Linked DNA regions of Drosophila melanogaster. Changing the gene in region 1 together with any one later gene gives a genetic interaction. Each region holds a gene or a part of one and is shown on either strand. Other genes may lie near its edges.

What was found. A genetic interaction does not mean that the proteins touch.
Region 2: of mei-218 (region 1) and hdm, changing one suppresses a phenotype caused by changing the other (phenotypic suppression), as found in Drosophila melanogaster (one study listed by BioGRID).

What each region holds. Positions count from the first base shown.
Region 1 is NC_004354.4:17,137,256-17,148,628, reverse strand, and holds the start of mei-218 (meiotic 218), read left to right. Parts: upstream 1-5,638; 5' UTR 5,639-5,765; coding exon of another isoform or gene 5,766-5,827; 5' UTR 5,828-5,921; coding exon of another isoform or gene 5,922-6,362; 5' UTR 6,363-6,867; coding exon of another isoform or gene 6,868-6,935; intron 6,936-7,034; exon of another isoform or gene 7,035-7,147; coding exon of another isoform or gene 7,148-7,303; intron 7,304-7,425; coding exon of another isoform or gene 7,426-7,516; coding exon 7,517-7,650; intron 7,651-7,713; coding exon 7,714-9,253; intron 9,254-9,317; coding exon 9,318-10,651; intron 10,652-10,707; coding exon 10,708-10,940; intron 10,941-11,232; coding exon 11,233-11,373. Other genes in the region: RpS5a (ribosomal protein S5a), read left to right, coding at 1,430-1,831, 3,497-3,613, 3,913-4,011, 4,858-4,926; mei-217 (meiotic 217), read left to right, coding at 5,766-5,827, 5,922-6,362, 6,868-6,935, 7,148-7,303, 7,426-7,538.
Region 2 is NC_004354.4:7,914,237-7,921,722, reverse strand, and holds hdm (hold'em), read left to right. Parts: upstream 1-1,591; coding exon 1,592-2,507; intron 2,508-2,558; coding exon 2,559-2,715; intron 2,716-2,818; coding exon 2,819-3,206; downstream 3,207-7,486. Other genes in the region: YKT6 v-SNARE, read right to left, coding at 359-833, 923-1,047; snz (snazarus), read right to left, coding at 4,400-4,768, 4,829-5,512, 5,578-5,715, 5,777-5,956, 6,026-6,763, 6,825-7,231, 7,288-7,460. UniProt on the Drosophila melanogaster protein: Single-stranded DNA-binding protein required for meiosis. May be involved in the resolution of recombination intermediates into crossovers in the meiotic recombination pathway.

The sequences.
Region 1 (11,373 bases):
TTCTATAAGGTGACCGTAATAAAGAAAATTTGGCATGCGAATTTCAACTATCGCCACCCGTTGTGACTGGCAAAACCGCGAAATGCCGCATATCGATAGAAAGTTCGAAATTTGTCATTAAAAAAGTGGCTTAAAACTAATAGTATGCCTGAAAGCAGGGTATATTTCTATGAAGTACATATAAATGTGCAACTCAAGTAGCAAACGCGTTCGAAAAAGTGATTAAGTCGAGGAATAATCCCCACTCATGGCCGCCTATCTCCGTTCGATAGTTCACTTGTTGCGCAGCCCTGGCAGCCGGAATGCAACCGTGTGCGTGTCGGCGGAAGCGGACTCTCTGGCGTTGCTGCACACTGCCGTAACATGTTCTTTTTCAGGCGTTTGCCTTTGCGCTGACATCGTATCTCGATTTCTTCTGTGACAAAGTAAGGGATTTTCAACGTTTAATTGTGTGGATTGTGGCCAGAGGATGGCCAAAAGACGGCTAAACGCTGGCAACTAGTGTGGATACTAAGGGTTTTGTGAATTTACTGCGGCAAACTGCGGAATATTGCCATTTCCACCGAAATGAGGTTAAAAACGGGCGGCTTTTTGTTTGTGTGTGTGCGCGCGAGTGCAACTGTGTGTGTGCGTCACACGTGTTTGTTTCCCCTTTTTTTTTGTATATTTTTTTTATCTGCTTGCAGCGCAAGAATATGTTTAATACAATATACATCCACGTATATTGAGCCAATTATCCAAAAGGATAACCTTCAAGAAAGTATAAACCCTTAAAAACTCGCAATTCAACAACAACAACGCGCGTGTGTTTTTTACGGTGCTTATGCGTGTGTGTGTGTGCGTATAGCGCCCATCTACAGTTTAAAAAAAACGTGTTAACGCAGGAAAACTACTTAAATATGTATTTAAAAGTTATTGTGACCCTTTTTGTATACTTAAACGTAATCTTCACTGAAACTTCCGTCTTTCATAAACCTTGGAACTTTTTTTGTAGTTTATTTTTGTTTTAAGACGTTTTTAAGATTTAAAAACGAATGTTAAGGCTCTAAAAATTATTCGTATCAGTTTATCACAGCCTTTTCTTGGGTTTTGTATTTGTAAAAGAATTTTTCAAACGAAATCTAGTTAAAGTTATAAACAATTTGTATGTGTATAAAATTTGTACAAAAGGGACGATGTTTCCATAAACAAATACTGAAAAACACGTTTCTGTAAAACTTCTAGGTGATGTTCAAGCCATACAATGATGTTCAATAATAGAAGTTAGCTTATTAAAATCAACGAACAAATACCATTAACCAACCATTAATGAATGTCTGTGATAGTAATAGATCGCAAAGCCCTCAAGTATCCCATCCCACAGTAGAATTACCAATACCGATTTGCAGACACGTGACTAACTTATTTGCCTTCCAAAAACTATTGCAGCATGGCCGAAGTTGCTGAAAACGTGGTGGAGACCTTCGAGGAGCCAGCGGCACCTATGGAAGCCGAGGTGGCCGAGACGATCCTGGAGACAAATGTGGTGTCCACCACTGAGCTGCCGGAGATCAAGCTGTTCGGCCGCTGGTCTTGCGACGATGTCACCGTTAACGACATCTCTCTGCAGGATTACATCTCGGTGAAGGAGAAGTTTGCCCGCTATCTTCCCCATTCCGCCGGACGTTATGCCGCCAAGCGTTTCCGCAAGGCCCAGTGCCCCATTGTGGAGCGTTTGACCTGCTCCCTGATGATGAAGGGTCGCAACAACGGCAAGAAGCTGATGGCCTGCCGCATCGTCAAGCACTCGTTCGAGATCATTCATCTGCTCACCGGGGAGAACCCTCTGCAGGTAAACATGCCCATCCCGTCCAAATGTTCCCAATTCCACCGCGTCCCATGCTAAACTGTGGCCAGAGAACGTTGCCACTCGGTCATGGGTAGAATGGGCACGCAGAGCGAACACAAGGTTTTAATGTCCTAGTGCTTGAAGATATCAAAGCCTCTTCTTGTTCTCCGGGAACTTAAAACCACATTACAAAACCATTATAAAGCATATGCGGTACCTTGGTTTAAACTGATTTAAAGGGAATCTTCACTGATTTCTAGTCCTCCTCAATGCTGGCTATGTTCTACATACTTTCCGAAGCATAACTCTCAAAGGGACTAATAGTGAACCAAAGATTTAATTATCCTAGTGCTAGAATAGAAAGCAAATTCTGGTTCTCCTGGAACTTAAAGCTACAATAGTATTATAGAGGAGTCCTCCTCAATGCCAGTTGATGGTAATTTTCAGCCGAACTGAGCATAACTCTTAATGGACTCATAGGAAAAGGTATTAACTATCCTTGTGCTTGAAGATAAAACCACTTCCCGCTCTCCTGGAACTTAATTCGACATTTAAGACAATAGCATATTAGTGGATCTTTCACAATGAGTCTACCTCAATGCTAGTTGAAGGAAATTCCATCCCAGCTAAGGCATATATTAAATAGACTCAGAGGAATAAGTGTTAATTATCCTAGTGCTTGAAGATTAAGCCACTTCCCGCTCTCCTGGAATTTAAGACTACATTAGAAAGAAAGCATTCATTACAGAGATCAGTGTCCGTCCAAAACTAAAACTGCAGCGTTGATCTCTGCAGCGTTGTGGCATTCAATTGGACCACAGGAAATCCCATGGTTAGCTATTCCTCTTAAGGGCATGGCCTCAAAAATGCAATCTTAATAAAGCATAAATCAACAAAATCCTATTCTCAGAAACCGCGTGTCAGTCCACCTCAATGCCAGATGGCTTAAAAATACGATGCCATACTGAGCATAACCAAAAATGGACTAATATCAATTGAAATTGTTTTAACTATCCTTGTGCTTGAAGATATAAGCCACTTCCTGCTCTCCTGGAAATTAAAACAACACTAAAGTTAAGCATTATTCACCAAGGGTATCATTATCCGTCCAAAACTAAAACTGCAGCGTTGATCCTTACAGGGTTGTGGTATTCAACTGGACCATAATAAACCCCATGATTAGCTATTCCTCTTAAGGGCATGGCCTCAAAAATGCAACCTTAATAAAGCATAAATCAACAAAAACCTATTCTCAGAAACCGCGTGTCAGTCCACCTCAATGCCAGATGGCTTAAAAATACGATGCCATACTGAGCATAACCAAAAATGGACTAATATCAATTGAAATTGTTTTAACTATCCTTGTGCCTGAAGATATAAGCCACTTCCTGCTCTCCTGGAAATTAAAACAACACTAAAGTTAAGCATTATTCACCAAGGGTATCATTATCCGTCCAAAACTAAAACTGCAGCGTTGATCCCTACAGCGTTGTGGTATTCAATTGGACCACAATAAACCCCATGATTAGCTATTCCTCTTAAGGGCATGGCCTCAAAAATGCAACCTTAATAAAGCAATAAATCAACAGCAAAAATTCTACTTTGGTGCTTCGAGTGGATCAAGTGATAGCTTACTCATTTCGATTTTTTTTTGTGACCTCTTTGCAGATCCTGGTCAGCGCCATCATCAACTCGGGACCCCGTGAGGACTCCACCCGTATTGGACGTGCCGGTACCGTCCGTCGCCAGGCCGTCGATGTGTCGCCCCTGCGTCGCGTCAACCAGGTGGGTTTCTTCTGAAGATTTGCCTTCCAGATGCATGTGCTCACGGTGGCCGGTAGCAATGGCTTGTGGTTCGTTTAGAGACTGCTTGCTTATAACACTTGGCCAGAACGAAAATCTATCTAATATCCGTAGCGTCATAATGTGTAGTATAGCCGACATTTGGCGTATGAAACGAAGAGACATTATCAATTGCATAACACACTTTCATTTTACTAACGATAAGAACCCCAAATTCTTACGCTGCTGTGATTGCGTTCATAAAGTTACTTAATTAATTTTTTTCCGTATATTTCCTTTAGGCTATCTGGCTGCTGTGCACTGGAGCTCGTGAGGCTGCCTTCAGGAACATCAAGACCATCGCCGAGTGCCTGGCTGATGAGCTGATCAACGCTGCTAAGGTGGGTAAATTGGGCTTGTGGCGAGATCAAAGTGGGAATGGGGTGGTCTACTCTAATGCTTGGCATTGTACTACCAAAATGCCTGGCCTCGCTTGTAGACCAGATCGAGAACCACGTTCGGCACTCGGATTAACCCAAGAATTGAGCTTCGAAATAGCTCTTTTCTTCCTTCTAGTGACACAGCTAGTCATTTCAACTAGTCCAATCTAATTCTGCATCATGGTTTATTTATGTAGTCTCGCTTTTGGACCAGATCAAACTCCAAATCTCTTATTATCCTTGTGCTAGTGACCACTTAACTGTCCTATGCACACGAGAAACGTAAAAGAACACTTTTATGAATTAGCATTTAGGAACTGATTCGATTAGGATAGCGGGGGTCCAATCTAATTCTGCATAGTGGTTTAATTATGTAGTCTCGCTTTTGGACCAGAACAATCACCATCCTTTATTATCCTTGTGCTTGTGACAATATCAGTCTAATGCACACGAGAAACGTAAAAGAACATTAGCAAACTATTTAAGAGTTGGTATATAGAGCTTAATAATAGGTCCAATCTAATTCTGCATGGTGGTTTAATTATGTAGTCTCGCTTTTGGACCAGATTAATTTCCATCCTTTATTATCCTTGTGCTTGTAATATTGCTTAGTTCAATGCACATGAGAAACGTAAAGGAACACTAGCTTTAAATAAGTTAGGGACTTGTTTTTTTATATTTATTTATTTAGAAGCGATGAATCCATACAATGCAGTAACAGTAACATAACAGCGCAATTAACATATAAAAGATCTAGAAAAACATTGATAGCCAATACTAATAACTTGTGTTTAAATGTATTTCCAGGGATCTTCCAACTCGTACGCCATCAAGAAGAAGGATGAGTTGGAGCGTGTCGCCAAGTCCAACCGTTAAGGAGACATCATCACCAGCAAAAACAAACTTCTGTCTGTTTTTTTTTATACAAATAACGTGTGTACACTGAGAAATGATACACTAAAACTAAAATAAACAACAAGATGAAAAATTCACTTCAGACCATTCTTTTTTTATAGTTTTTAGTTTATAATAAACTTGGTTGTCAGAGAAGAACGGATATTTTAGCTATTTTCTATCGGGCTGCTGGTGTCAGAAATATGTGAGGTTAAGCGTGAGTAAAACGTGAAATTGTCTTGCTTGGAATAGCTAAAAATATTGAAATGAAATTTAGCTAAAAAATTAAAGTAAATTACATGGTTTAAACAAATTGAAACTTTAAAAAGTTTTTTTTATCGATATTGATACAATTTCTTTCATAGATATTTCTCTAACTACTCACGATAGATCACTAAAATACGGTTTTTTTAGTGTATAAAATCTATAGATAGTTGCGATACTCCATCGATCTGGCATCACTTTTCTAAAATAAATGTATTGGAAAGCTGGCAACAGTTTACAATACTCCGATTGTTTTAAGCCCTTAAATTCTACATTTATATATTCTATTCTTCGCTTTTGAAGAACTCTATGCCAAAGCAACAAAAGATCCATTTATTGTAGGAGGCTAGTCATTAGTCATTTAACGACATTTAAAATCTAAGTCACACATTACCCGATCGAAAAACTTCAGTATCGATTTAAATCAGGGCTCGATAGGTACACTTCATATCGCAATCGGTTTTAATTCCAATTTTTCCTTAGTCAAACACTTCATTTTAAAATTCTTTGGTAGTAGGTCGGATTGAAATAAGTTCACATTTCTGGATTAGTGTATAATGTTCACAGTGGATGCAAGCGAAGGATCATCAGTTGTAAACGAGACTCCATTAAAAAGCCAGTAAGTGCACGGTAATCCTGGTTAAAAAACAGGGCGCATTTATTTTCGCAGGCTCCTAAAGACATAAAACACGAAATGCTAATATACAATACAGATTCCACGATCAGAAGTTGGTTGAGCACTTTTGCCGGCAGACGCAGCTGCTCAAGCTGGTCCAGGTCTCCTCTGGCCGCTTTGTGGCGAACTATATGAGCTCCCGGCGGCCAGAGGACCTGCTGGCCCCCATCCAGCTGCGCCTGGACTTCGAATACCGGCAACTACTCGATATCTCACCGCAACTACTGCAGCTCATCGTCGAGGAACCGCTGCAGTTTCAAGAAGCGGTCCGCTACTCGGTTTATGGCTTGATCCGCTCACATCTCAAGGACGCTGGCCTGAAGCCCATCGATATCAACCAGCTGCACGCCCACTGGCGCCTGGTGGGACTGCCCTTTACGCCGGGCCTGCAGTTCGAGCCGCGGGACCAGTTGACCCGGCTGGGCTTGTCCCAGATCCGGGGCATCCTAGCCGCTTTCACGCCGCAAGAAACACTGGTGTCAGTTTTACAGTTTGTACATGTCCTGGCAGAGAATTGCAATGTTCCCCTAGTTTGCTTTGGTGTGCTTTTTCCACATTTTTCTTATTCGATTTGGTTATGTTTGGGTACTATGTATCCTGTCATGCCTGATTAATTATAGTTATAGTTCTTAACTAACCAAGCTAGCCAAGCTGGTTTACCCTTTTTGGTTTAGTTCAAGAGGGTTTTAAGCTTAGTCTCTTAAGTGTAAATACCAACCTACAAAAGAAGTATATCTATATCCCATTAACTTTCTATGAATGTTCATTGTTGTTAAAGTTAAAAAAGCATGGATCGTATTATCGTTATTTTTTATTTAAGTGGGTTAATGGTATTTATTATTTGTCTATTGCATGTATTATTTTCTTATGCTTTAGGCAATATCTGTTTCTAAACATATTAATTATAAAACACACAGCTGCTCTGCTAGGGTGTACCAATCTTTGATAATATGTGTAATTTATATCCTGATATTCCATTGTAGCCTACAATCGATCTGGTACTGCGGCAGTGGCTGTATGCGAAATGCCATACAGACCAGCTCAACAGATGGTAGGTCCCATAGGCTAGGAACATAAAGAAACAACGTGCACTTTATCCAAATTGTGGCACAGCCAACAACCTCTAACTAACAACCTCTAACCTCTAGCCATACTCACAACCCTCGGAACCCTGTCTAACAAAATGTTATCTAACCCAGCATTCCTTGTTCACGAGATCCTGTGCCAGCTCCATTGCTAATCCATCTTCTTGATATCTTTCAGCACCCTTTTGTTCGAGCTGCTCGCGGCCCATGAGTGAATACCAAAAGCTGCGCGTCACGGAAACCTATCGTATCTTGGCTGTCTTGCCTATTTCGGCAGTTCAGACACCTCGTGTCACCAATTGCCTTCATCGCCCAAAATTAGTTCGCCTTAGAGGTAAGTGAATCTGGTATTCAGGACATCATAAACACGTGAAATTAAATATGCCTGGTAAACTAGGACATACTCATTTGGATGTCACTATCATGAATAATCATAATATTAACAACATTTCTTAGCCCACGCCCACGACTGCGAATTAAAGTTGGGTGCTAGCTACCTAATCACTGGATACTTTGCGAGCTCAGCCAGCACATATCAACTGGAAGCATGTCATCTACGAATAAACTAGAGAAAAAGGACCCTCGTAGGCACATTCCCCTCCAGCTTAATGTTTTCTTGCGCAACGATGACGATGGTGAAGTTCGTGAAGTTACTCAAAATGCCAACACAAGCTCCATAGGGTAGAATATTCTATTTACACCATTATAATAAGCAAATATATTAATGTATCCCCCAATGCCCAGCACCATACCATCGAATGGCCTGGTCGAAAGCGATGTGACGCCTATTATGACTCCCACACCGAAGGCCGGTGTCTACAAACCAAATGTTAACGTCTGGCGCTTATCTAAAGAAGTCACTAAGCCTGATCGTAGCTTTGTTGTGAGTGCCGAAGAGTATCCTGATTTGGGCCAGCGCCCGAAGAGATTCAAACAACGAACGCCGCGGGTGCGTAATCAAGATGACGGCGGCACTGTTTCGTGCCTTGCCAGTCGTTTTAGTCGCGTAAAAGATCCGCCTGTGCTGGGTAACTTTTTGCCGGATTTCATGCTTCCGAAATCGAGCAACAGCAATCATCAATCGGTGACCACTTGGCTGTCGTCAGTACGTCCTAGCGACAGCCAAAAGTCTTTAAGCGACCAGGCACGTTGCTCTTCTTCGACCAATATAACACTGCTGAGTAAAGATTCAGTACAGCCGCTGACGCCAAAAAGTTCTGCCCAGTCCTCTCCGGGTGAGAAGAATATCCAACAGGAGCAGAATACTCCAGCTAAATCCCAACAGGAGGAGACAAGTCCGGCTAATTCTGTCGAGCATCAGCAGAAAACACCTAACTCTCCAAAGGAGCAGCAGAAGAGTTCTGTCGGTTTTACTAACATGCAGCAGATGGCTTCCGCCAATTCTTTACAGCAGCAAAACAGTTCTGCCAGTTCCTTACAGCAGCAGAATAGTTCGGTCCATTCCTTACAGAAGCGGAAGAGTTGGGTCAATTCTTCACAGCAGCAGAGGAGTTCGGTCAATTTCATACAGAAGCAAAGGAGTTGGGTCAATTCCTCGCATCATCAGAAGAGTTCTGCCAGTTCTTTACAGCAGAAGAGTTCTGAAAATTCTCCCAGCAAATTCCAACAGCAGCAACAGAAGAGTCCTGCCAATAATGAAAGGAGCCAAAACAATCAGAAGTCTCCTGGCATTCAGCACTCTTGGAAACAACAACAGCAGCAGAAGCCAAAGATTCTTCAGAATTGTCCGAAAACTTCTGTTCAGCAGCAGATGAACCCTGTTAATCATACTCAGTCGCAATCAGAGAGACCTACCGAGCTCATTTACTTGCACTCAAGGAGCCCTGCGAAGAGAGCTTCAGTTACAAACAATTCTTCGGCACCAATCCGCATTGCGCCCAGACAGCAGACCACTCAATCTTCGGGTCCCAGTGTTGTCCACAATGAGGACGAGGATGTTATGCCGCCGACGCCTAATCAAAGTGAGAGAAGGCAGAGGAGATTCCCACGTCGCAATCACAACCCCCGGATGGTGCGCAGTCTGCAGGCGGTAAGTCGAGAGTTTACAGAGTCCTTGCTTGAGGGATCTTCAGGGAAAACGCCGGAAAAAGAGGTGGTGCCGTACCAGCAACAGGAGAAACCGCGCCAGGTGAAAAGCTCACCAGAAATCCATGCGAGCAGCCACATGCGAAAATTGGCTATGGGCAGCGTTTTGAACTCAAATGCTAAGGAGTTCCACCCTACCGGAGAATCCCATCTAACCCACAAAGTGTCTAGATTGAGCGTAAGTTACTGCACCGTAAGTTTAATCCTCATTAGATAACCCTTTCTATATTGGACAATTACAGCAAAGACGCTGTCGACAGCGTTTTACGCGCTCTTTGCACGCGAAAAAAAATAACCCACGCGAGCAACTACCAAATCCTGACAGCGCCCCAGAACCAATACTCGAATACACCTCTGAGATAGATGATCAGCCATGTCCACCACGACAGACAGTCGACACACCGATCGAAGCCATTGTACCACCGGCAATGATCGAGGTGAGTGCCACCGGCAATCTGCCGCCCGTGTTCTATTTTGATCAGCAGTCGGGAATTATATGGAGCAACTCGTCACCACAAATTCCGGTTGAAATCCAAAGCAACAGTGTCAGCCAGTCGGTTTTTCGGCTAGCCAGTCTCCCGTGTACAGGGGTTGGCACCACCAATATGGATATATTTACCAGTTCGCCACCCCCCATCCAGCATATGAGCTCCAGCCGCCTCCCATCCAGCATTTCCGGGCCCACCCAGTTATCGCATACTCTCAGTTCGCCGCCGGTGGAGAACCAGCACCAGCAACACTTGTGGGAATCATGCATCCACCAGGACGAGGACCTAATGTACAGCAGGCCTCTGTTGGATATGGATCAGGAGGAAACCCAGCCGGAGCAACAGGACCAGGAATGGCAGTGGGAGTCGGAGATAGAGCCCCCGAGTTTCCAGTCGGAGAACCAGGTCGTCGCCGACGAACACGGCGAGGAAAACGCGTACCTCGCTAAGGACGCAGGACCACCACTCGAGCGTCATATGATATTTCGAGCCCCATCACAGCACGGCCAAGAATATCCCAAGCCGGATCTAAACTGCGTGCCGTCCAGCATCAAGAAACTACATCACTTGATCTCATCGCAGTATTCTGACTACTCCTTTGTCTACGCCCTAAGTGCTCAGATCAGTCAGGACTGTGTGCCTATGGATTGCTTTGTGTACCTGAAGATGATACTGCTGGCCAGTATCGTTTCAATCGAATCTGATGAGGTGCGGGCTCCAATTTCGCTATGCATAATCGCCACCGACAGCCTGATGGCCAACCGTCTACTTAACAAAGTGGGCCAACTGGCACCACGTTTCCTGGGACCCCACGAATACGGACTGCAGCCCACTTTCAATGCCCTGCCCACGCGCTTTAATTGGATAGTGGCCAGTCCTTTACTATTGGCACAACAGGGAGTTTACTACGCCGGCGATTGGAATCGTCTGTCCAAGGATCAGGGATGCCAGCTGGAAAAGTGCATCGAAAATGGAGCGGTCCCAGTTCCGCAGTTGCACATCGATCAGCCCTTAAAGGCAGCCGTTTGGACTTACTGGCAGCCGAACAACTCCACCAATCAAACACTGGCCCTCGCCAAACTGTGCCCGTAAGGTGGACAAAACTAGAAATTACGCTTGTATATTAAGTTAACCTAATTTGCAGAATCTTCGGGCTGCCAATTTATATGGGTGCTCAGGCCAGCAATAGTCTCTGGAACTCTATAATTCAGAAGCACAACGCTGAGGGTCAAATTGTAGTCAACGATGGCTTGAGCATTCCCGAGGACGATATGCGCATGCTTATACATCTGTTGCATCAGCGCAAGACCACCTTAACCGATGGCGCTCAGCATATGCTGCAAAAGTATTATGTGATCTCCAGGAAAGAGCGACCGAGTAAGTCTAATTCCATTAAGCAGCAAATCGTCTTCCTAGCTTCAAAGCGAAGGGTCGTGTCAGTACGGCTTTATGAAACACAGATCAACAAACACAACAACAATCACAATTCAAACAGATCTCATCCAAACTGACTTTAGTAATGTTTCGCATTTAGCATGTTTCGAGAACAATTAACAGAGTCAAATTGTTAATTATTTTCGAAACTTGAAATACTATTTACAACTTTTGTTACTATTTTGTGCTCCTCTAATCGATGGCAACTAACGTTTTCCATCCCGCTCATTTCCAGATGTCTTCTCTAGCAAGACCTATATAGTGCTGAAGCAATTAGCTGAGTGCTTTGCCAAGCTGGCGCTGCGGCTGGAGGTCCTTGAATCGGACGTTTGTGTGGCCATCTTTCACTGCGAGCATTTCGTGCAGGGCATTTTCG
Region 2 (7,486 bases), 9.2 Mb from region 1:
GTAATCTGTATTGGTAGTAATTAACATTTAGATATCCAAAGCGTAGACATATACAGACAGGTAGACATTGGGTTAGCGGACTATCGTAACTGGCAACTGGCCATCCTATTCATACAGTATATAATATAATATATATATATAGTATATAAAATTAACTAATTCATTTATAAAAAGCAATCATCAAAGCCCAAGTCGCACCGCTCCCTTGGAGTTTGTTTGGTTGTAGTTTGTTGGTGTTATCGTGTTATCCATTATCCTTTGTGTTGTCTTTGATTTGCATTTTCTGGTGTTTCCTGTTGTGGTTGTTGCTTGAGAGGATTAGCGTGTGGTGGGGGGTGATGAGAGGTGCAGCTGTCGTCTAGGTGAAGCTGCAGCAGGAGTTAGTCTTTTTCGCCGTCTTGTAGAACGCCTTGCTCTGCAGCGACAATTTCTCCGACTTGCTGACCATGTCGTCCAGCTTCTCGCCCCGCTCCAGCACCGCCTCGATGGTATTCTTCAGTATGATCTTCGTTTCGTCCAGGTCGTTTTGCATTTTCGTCAGCGGATCTGCTTCGACGGGATTTTGATAGCGTGCTAGAAACGCTGGCAGCAAGTCAAATGAGATAGTGGCCTCCGTGCCATTGGGCCACTGATCGGCCGACACCTTGGCCGTAAAGTCATCCAGAATCTTTGTGATAAGCGTGTGCGCCACGCGATGCGGATACTCATGATCGGCGATCAGTACACCGGCCAGATTGTCCGCCCGCACATAGACATGACACATGTAGGCATCCTGTTTCACCGATTGCCGCAGGGCCGGCTGTGTGCGCTCCACAATCGTCTTCGAAGCGAAACTGCAAGAGGAGGAGTTGTTTAGGGGGGTGTTCGTCATTGATGACTCTTTGAGCCTGCGCCGTTCTTTGGCATCCACATGCATACTCACGTCATGAACTCGTTGACGGTGCCACGTTGGAAAAAGGAGAAGGACTGCAGGTCCGAGGCGGTCTTCAGGAGACGCGCCTCGCTGGCGCCCTTGTGAAAGATGCTCAACGCGAATAGTTTGACCATTTTGAGTGGCTGTGGGCTGCCAAGACTGGGTCTGCGGGTCGCGGGTTGCTCGACTGTTGCTCCTCCAATTAAATGCTTCTGGGGCACTGAGCTGAACGGTTGTCCTGGCTAATCCTACTATGCTCCGGCGGATGGGTTTCACTTTCAGCGCACTGGCATTCGTGGAAAAGTGCGACAAGTGAGTTTGTTTAACGCAGTAAATCTGTGCCGTTCCCCTCTGTGTGTGCGTGTGTGTGTGCGCGGGTGCACATATGCGTAGTGTGTGTCAGCTTATTAGGGATGGTACGTCTGGTATTCGGATGCCATCCGATTATTATCGATTCCAATGGTTACAATTAATAAGCGCAACTTTCTGTAAATGTTTTAATTGTGGTTTTTATCAAACTAAGTTGTTAGCAATACTTTCTGTTACTAACTGAATCTACGGCCATTTGTGGTGTACCATCACTACAAACATCGATAACTACTAATCGGCGGTAACGGCAATGTAACGGTTTTCTTAAGCACTGCAATCTGACTGGTCGCGATTTCTTAAATAATTTCAATGGCAAGGCGTATTAAGTTCCAGCGGTTGGCAGAGATGCGTCCCACAATGACCCGTTTCTCCACCGTTGCCCTGATTGTCTCCAAATCCTCGCCGAACATCTTCTATGACAAGATGAGTGGCACCGAACGAGGGGTTCTCAGCTTGACCATCCGAGATTCCCCCAATCACCTGACCAATTGCAAGTGCTGGGGCCAGCGGGACTGTGTGGATGAGTACGCGGCCATGCTGCAGATCGGCCATGTGGTAGACATTGTGGGCGCTAAAGTGATGTCCATACCGTTTGCTGCTCCGGGAGAACAGCGTTATCAGCCCCAAGCGACGGTCTCCTGCGCCCTGGTGGTCAACGAGGGATCCGGCTATGTGGTGCGCCACGACAATGACGACTTTGGCCAAATAACAATTCTCCAGCAGTTACTCCATCAGCCCATAAGGCCACTTGGTGCGGTCCTTAAGCTGGCGGATGTGCGTTCCGGCTTGGGATTTCCCGATAAGATAATCACCACCAATGTGAATCTACTGGTAGTAGTGGCTGCAGTGCGTCCAGTGCGTCAGATAAAGCGAAAGCTGCAGGGGCCACTAAGTGAGGTCCAGGAGCTGCTACAGTGCTTGGAAGTAATCGTGATCGATGCCAGCTATCCGGAAGGTATGCTGCTCTCCGTTTGGCAACCCGACTGGATACAACGTGCCCAGCAATGGCAGCCACGTCGCACTGTCCTTCATTTGATCGACGTGCGTGTTTCCTACTCGAACTTTCATCGTTCTCTCGTCCTCTCCCATTCCAATTGCACACTTATTTGCGAAAATCCTCAGGCGGCTGGAGATGATTGCCGTCTCTTGCTAGCTTTCGCCGCCACTGTGCCTCTAACAACTTTTAGTGGCTGTGACCAGGCAGAGCTGGACAACATGCCTGCAGGTGAGTAAAGGATAATTAATGCAGTATTATTATTTACTATAACTCTTTCAGTTGCCAGCATTCAGGCGCAGATGACGGTAAGACAGATATATTCACGCGCCGAGGGCGAACTGCAGGATCCGTCCATACATCAGTTTACTGCAGTGCTGTATGGGATGGTCACCAAGTTCGACTTGGATGGATTGACCTCCCACGTCAACAGGAAGTGGTGGGTGTTGTACATCCCCATCCCTTCCTAACCGCCGAAACGCTTCCCACTATCCGTTACATAGTTTACAAGACATATTCTTAAAAGCCCTTTTATTTTACAGCATTGCCTGTCAACAACATATACCACGGAACCTGCAAGATTGCGCCTCGGACGCCTGCCAGCAGTATTTTTCATTGGACAATGATGAACCACGATCCATTAGCTACTTCAATATCAACATTCATTTGTCCGACCAGACCGGCACTCTCGTCGAAGCCCGGTTAGCTGGACATCCGGCAGAACGTATCCTGGGACTTCGGGCTGAAGACTTCGAGCGACTGGCGGAGCGCGAGAAAAGCGAGCTAAAGTGGCGCTTTCTGCTGAAATACTTCGAGGTAAGATTGATGATCAAAAAGCCGGTGGGAGTGCGCAATCATCTCGTCATTGTGGTCGTCGACATGCAAGCCATTCCCCTGGAAAAGCTTGTCGCAAATATGGTCGTTTTCTAAGTGTATGTGGGGTGGTCCCATCAAAATACTGGTGAACCATCTACATAAATAGCGATCTTTATTTCGCATTTTCACATAAAAGTGTACAACTGCAATACATAAATAGATTGAAAGCGCCTCGAAACTCTTAATGTGGGTCCTAAGTGGGATACGTTTGGCTCATTGGGGATGAATCATCTAAGTGTCATTTTGCCTAGTGTTACAGAAGGTGCCGGTGTCTTTGGGTCGTGGTGGTGGTGGGTGGGTGTCTACGGGGCGTTTCAGGTCCACAAAACTGATTTTGGGTCAATTCTAAATGTTGTAATTTCGAGTTGTGTGTTTTAACATGGTATCAAAATGCATTTGGATAACCACAAATGCTTAAGGATTAATGCTTCTTTAAAGTCCTGACTTGCGACTGTTTTATTGTGTTATCAAACGTTCTGTTTTTTAAGACAGCCTCAATCAACGCTTAGTCTTTAAGATTATTTGATACCATTACCAATTTTGGTCAATTAGGAAATTTCAAATACAATTTTTAATTGATGGTTATCGATGTGCAACAATTGAATCATTTTAATACAAATTCGAAAAAGAATACAATGTGTGTCAATACGGAAGTTGCTTTATGGCCATGGAACGCACTGTTCTGGACGCCCATTAGCTTGCCTCAAACTAATCTCACCTGTTGTGTTTCTATAATATTTTTGGGGGGAGGATGGATCTACAGCTGGCGCGGCATGGGAATCACAAGCACCGACTCAACGCCAGCTGCAGACGCAACTTTGGGCTCAATATCTGCTACTAAACTATAATTAAAATCAATCCAAACTGAGTGTCACAATTTACTATACGAGTATATAAACAACGATTTGGTACAACGCTTAATACTGACCTATGTACAGACATATACACATAACAAACAAATCTGGCTACAGGAAGTGATGGACGAACGAATCAACAAGAACTGAATTCATATGGATTGTAAGTCTGCATTTGTACAGGGAATGATACTGGTACTACTGAGTTGTGTTGTGTTCTACATAACTATTCTTTGTAATCCCTTTCCTCGGCTAAATCAACAATATCCACCGGTTAGAAAGAGGGAGAGCATTAAACATTGAACATAAAATCAAACAAAACATAACATAAATAAAAAAAAGGGTTTAGGTTAAAGTAAAATCTAAAACGAAGTGGTTCTTCTTAAGTTCACTTCACTTCGAACTGCCCGCTTGCGAATGGTGGTGCTGCTGCTGCTGGTGGTGGTGGGATCCGTGGTGGTAATGCGATTGGTGGTGCGAGGCGGCACCACCACCGGTGGCGCCACTCGCGCCAGCTGAGGATCCGCTGGCCGACGAGGATCCCTGATGGTTTTGGTGACCCCCCGTGGATGCACTGTGACCCCCACCACTATGATTAAGCGAGGGCAGCGAAGCTGATGCCGTGGCAGCCACCAGTGCCGCAGCGGCGGATGCAGCTGCCGCTCCAGCAGTAGCCGTATTTAACTTGGTTCCATTGGAGTTGCTGACGCGCAATTGTCGGATTTCAGGAAAGAACTCAATCATAAGTATCTCCAGCAGCTCCTGAAGATTAGAGATACCAATTGTATATTTGGCTATATGACCACTGAAACCACTACTCACGTAGAATAGCTGCTTGTTGTAGGCGGGATTCTGCAGGGCATCGAAAACCTTAAGGACACCCCGTTTGGCAGCCTGTGCACCGACCAGGTTGCACAGTACCTCCGGTATGTGATCGGTGAGCAGGGCCTTGGCCGCCGTGGTGGTCATTTCGCGCATATCCTCCGATCGCGTCGGATAGGCGGAGGCAAGAACTCCGCCTGGCCAAAATGACTTGAGGATGGCCGAAAAGTAGTTGTGCAGCATAGACTCCTCAAAGAGATAGGCCACCGATTCGCGGATCTGTCGATTGATCGTACGGCCGTATGTGATCTGCACAAACGAGATGAGACTCTTACGCAACCACTTGAAAACTCCGCCCATGTCAAAGATTTCGCCCATTAGAGCGTACATCGGTTCTGCTATCGAATCCTTGCTATCCAGATCCGCTGCTAGCATTTTAGCCTCACCGCCGGACTCGCCGTCTAAATAGGTAGATATATCCTCGTCATCGCGCTGCAGACCCCAAAACGGATCGGTTGCCTTGCTGGCCTCGTGAGCTTTGCCAGCATCGCTGCGGAATAGCGTAGATAGCGAGAATTTGGACTTCTTTGGCGAGGGCAGCGATTGTTTCAGGTGGTCGGAACTTGGGCTAAGAAACGTGTAGATGGCCTCGCTGCCATTCAAATGATCGTCCTCCAGGATAAACTAAGTGGCCAAAAAGTATGGAATCACAAACTTATCTATGGTGTAAAAGAAAAAATTAAACTTACATTCAAGAACTTCTGAATCTGTGACTTGGCCTTTTCCTGACCATGACGATCTGTTTTCAGAAAAAAGAACTTAAAGTTCGTAGGCAGGTCGATGGCCTTCAGGTTAGAGCTCACGTGTCTCAGCTTCCGTTGTAGTTCCTTCACAAATAACCAAAATGTTAGTGAGAGTGATCTATAGAATCTTAAAGGGAATACACACATGGACTTGATTAAGGGAGCGCATTACTACCCAACCACTGGAAATGCCCGACGGTCGCTTACGTAGATTGGCATGGCCGCTGTCACCGTTTTTGGATGAAGTCGGTTGTACTGGGGCATTAATATCCTCGTCCACATGAACCAAGATCATAAACTGCAAGGACTCTTTCTCATCGGAGACCTAAAAGATGCAAAAAAAAAAAAAAAATTGAAGATGGCTGATAAAATCACTCAGGGATGGAGCACTGACCTCTACACTTTGGATGGTAGCCTTCCACTTGCCCAGATGCTCTGTCCAGGCGTCCGTGCGACGCAAATGCGCCTCTGTCTGTCGCTTCTCGCTCTTCAGCCACTCCATCTCCTTTTCGAGAATGGTCAGCACCTTGGACTCCGGCTTCACGGAATATTTGAGGGCGTCCAGCGCCTGATTCTTTTTATCAATCCGTTCCTGTATTTGTTCCAATTTTCGTCGTGCATAGGATGTGTGGGCGGCCACATCGATGGCACCACCAGCTCCGCCATTTAGTCCATCCGCCGCGCCCGGTTGCTCATCCGCCAGCGGCTCCTGTACATCGCCAATGGTGTGACACATTAGCAGCGTGGGATCTGCAATCTCATTGGAGTCCAATGCCTCCTTCAACTGACGATATTGATCGCTGAGCACAAATGGCGGATAGTACTTTTCCTCCAGCGTGCGTAGTACATTGCGCTGGATGTCATAGAAGATGTCAGGCTCGGCATCTCCCAGCAGGAACGTCTCGATCAGTTTGCGTTCGTGCTTGTCAATCTGGATCTCTGACTTGGGCACTCTGATGTAGGTGTAAAAGATCTCCGTGCCCAGCTGATGGCTGGCCGACTTGTGCGCGTGCTTGATCTCCTCCACGGCCAGGTAGAAACCAATCAGAGCGCTAGCCTTCAGCGGCTCCAGGAACAGGGTGAAGTAGCGCCGGCCAACCGCAGTGTTTAGGATCTCGACCAGTGTTAGGTCCTGCAAATAATAATTGAGTTTATCAGTGTTGTGGATATGGGGAATGCTAAAGTTTAATTACAATATCACTCGAGTAATTGCCATTCCAGCCGAACTTGGCCAGATTCTTCTCGCACTCGCCCTTGGCCATTGTGAGTTGGCGTACGTAGCGCTTCAGTCGGACGGCGGCTGTGAGCTCCGACTTGGAGAGCGAGTGGTCCTCGTGATCCGGATCGAGGCCTTTGGCACGCTGTAGATTCTGCATGGTAGTAGCATGCATCAGATCGTTTACTATGCTCTTGCGGATGAGCGAGAGCTCCTCGAGGTTGCCCGAGTTGTTGATGATTTTGAGGAAATCCTCGAAGCTGGCTGCATACTCGTAGCTTCTCTTGCTCATGGCCGCCGCTGCCAAGCGAGTTTCAATGTTTTGGACCACCTTCTGGTTGATGTAGTCCGGTGCTGTCAGCATTTTGATCATCGGAAAGAAAACTGCGGACAGGATACTAAGTAAAACGTGTCGTTTATTAAGCGGCAATGGTTCTTACTCTTGTAGGAGAGAATCTCGCTGAGCAAGACCTTCAATGGGGGCAGGGAATAACCGCGTGGCAGCAGCAGGATCACCATAATCTCGCAAAGCTTGCGCAGGAACTCCATCTCCTTCTCCTCGTCGGCGAGGTACGAGTTTGTACTAAAAACTGGCGGCGTGTTGGTTTCAGCTCTAAAAAGAGGAATACATATATTTAT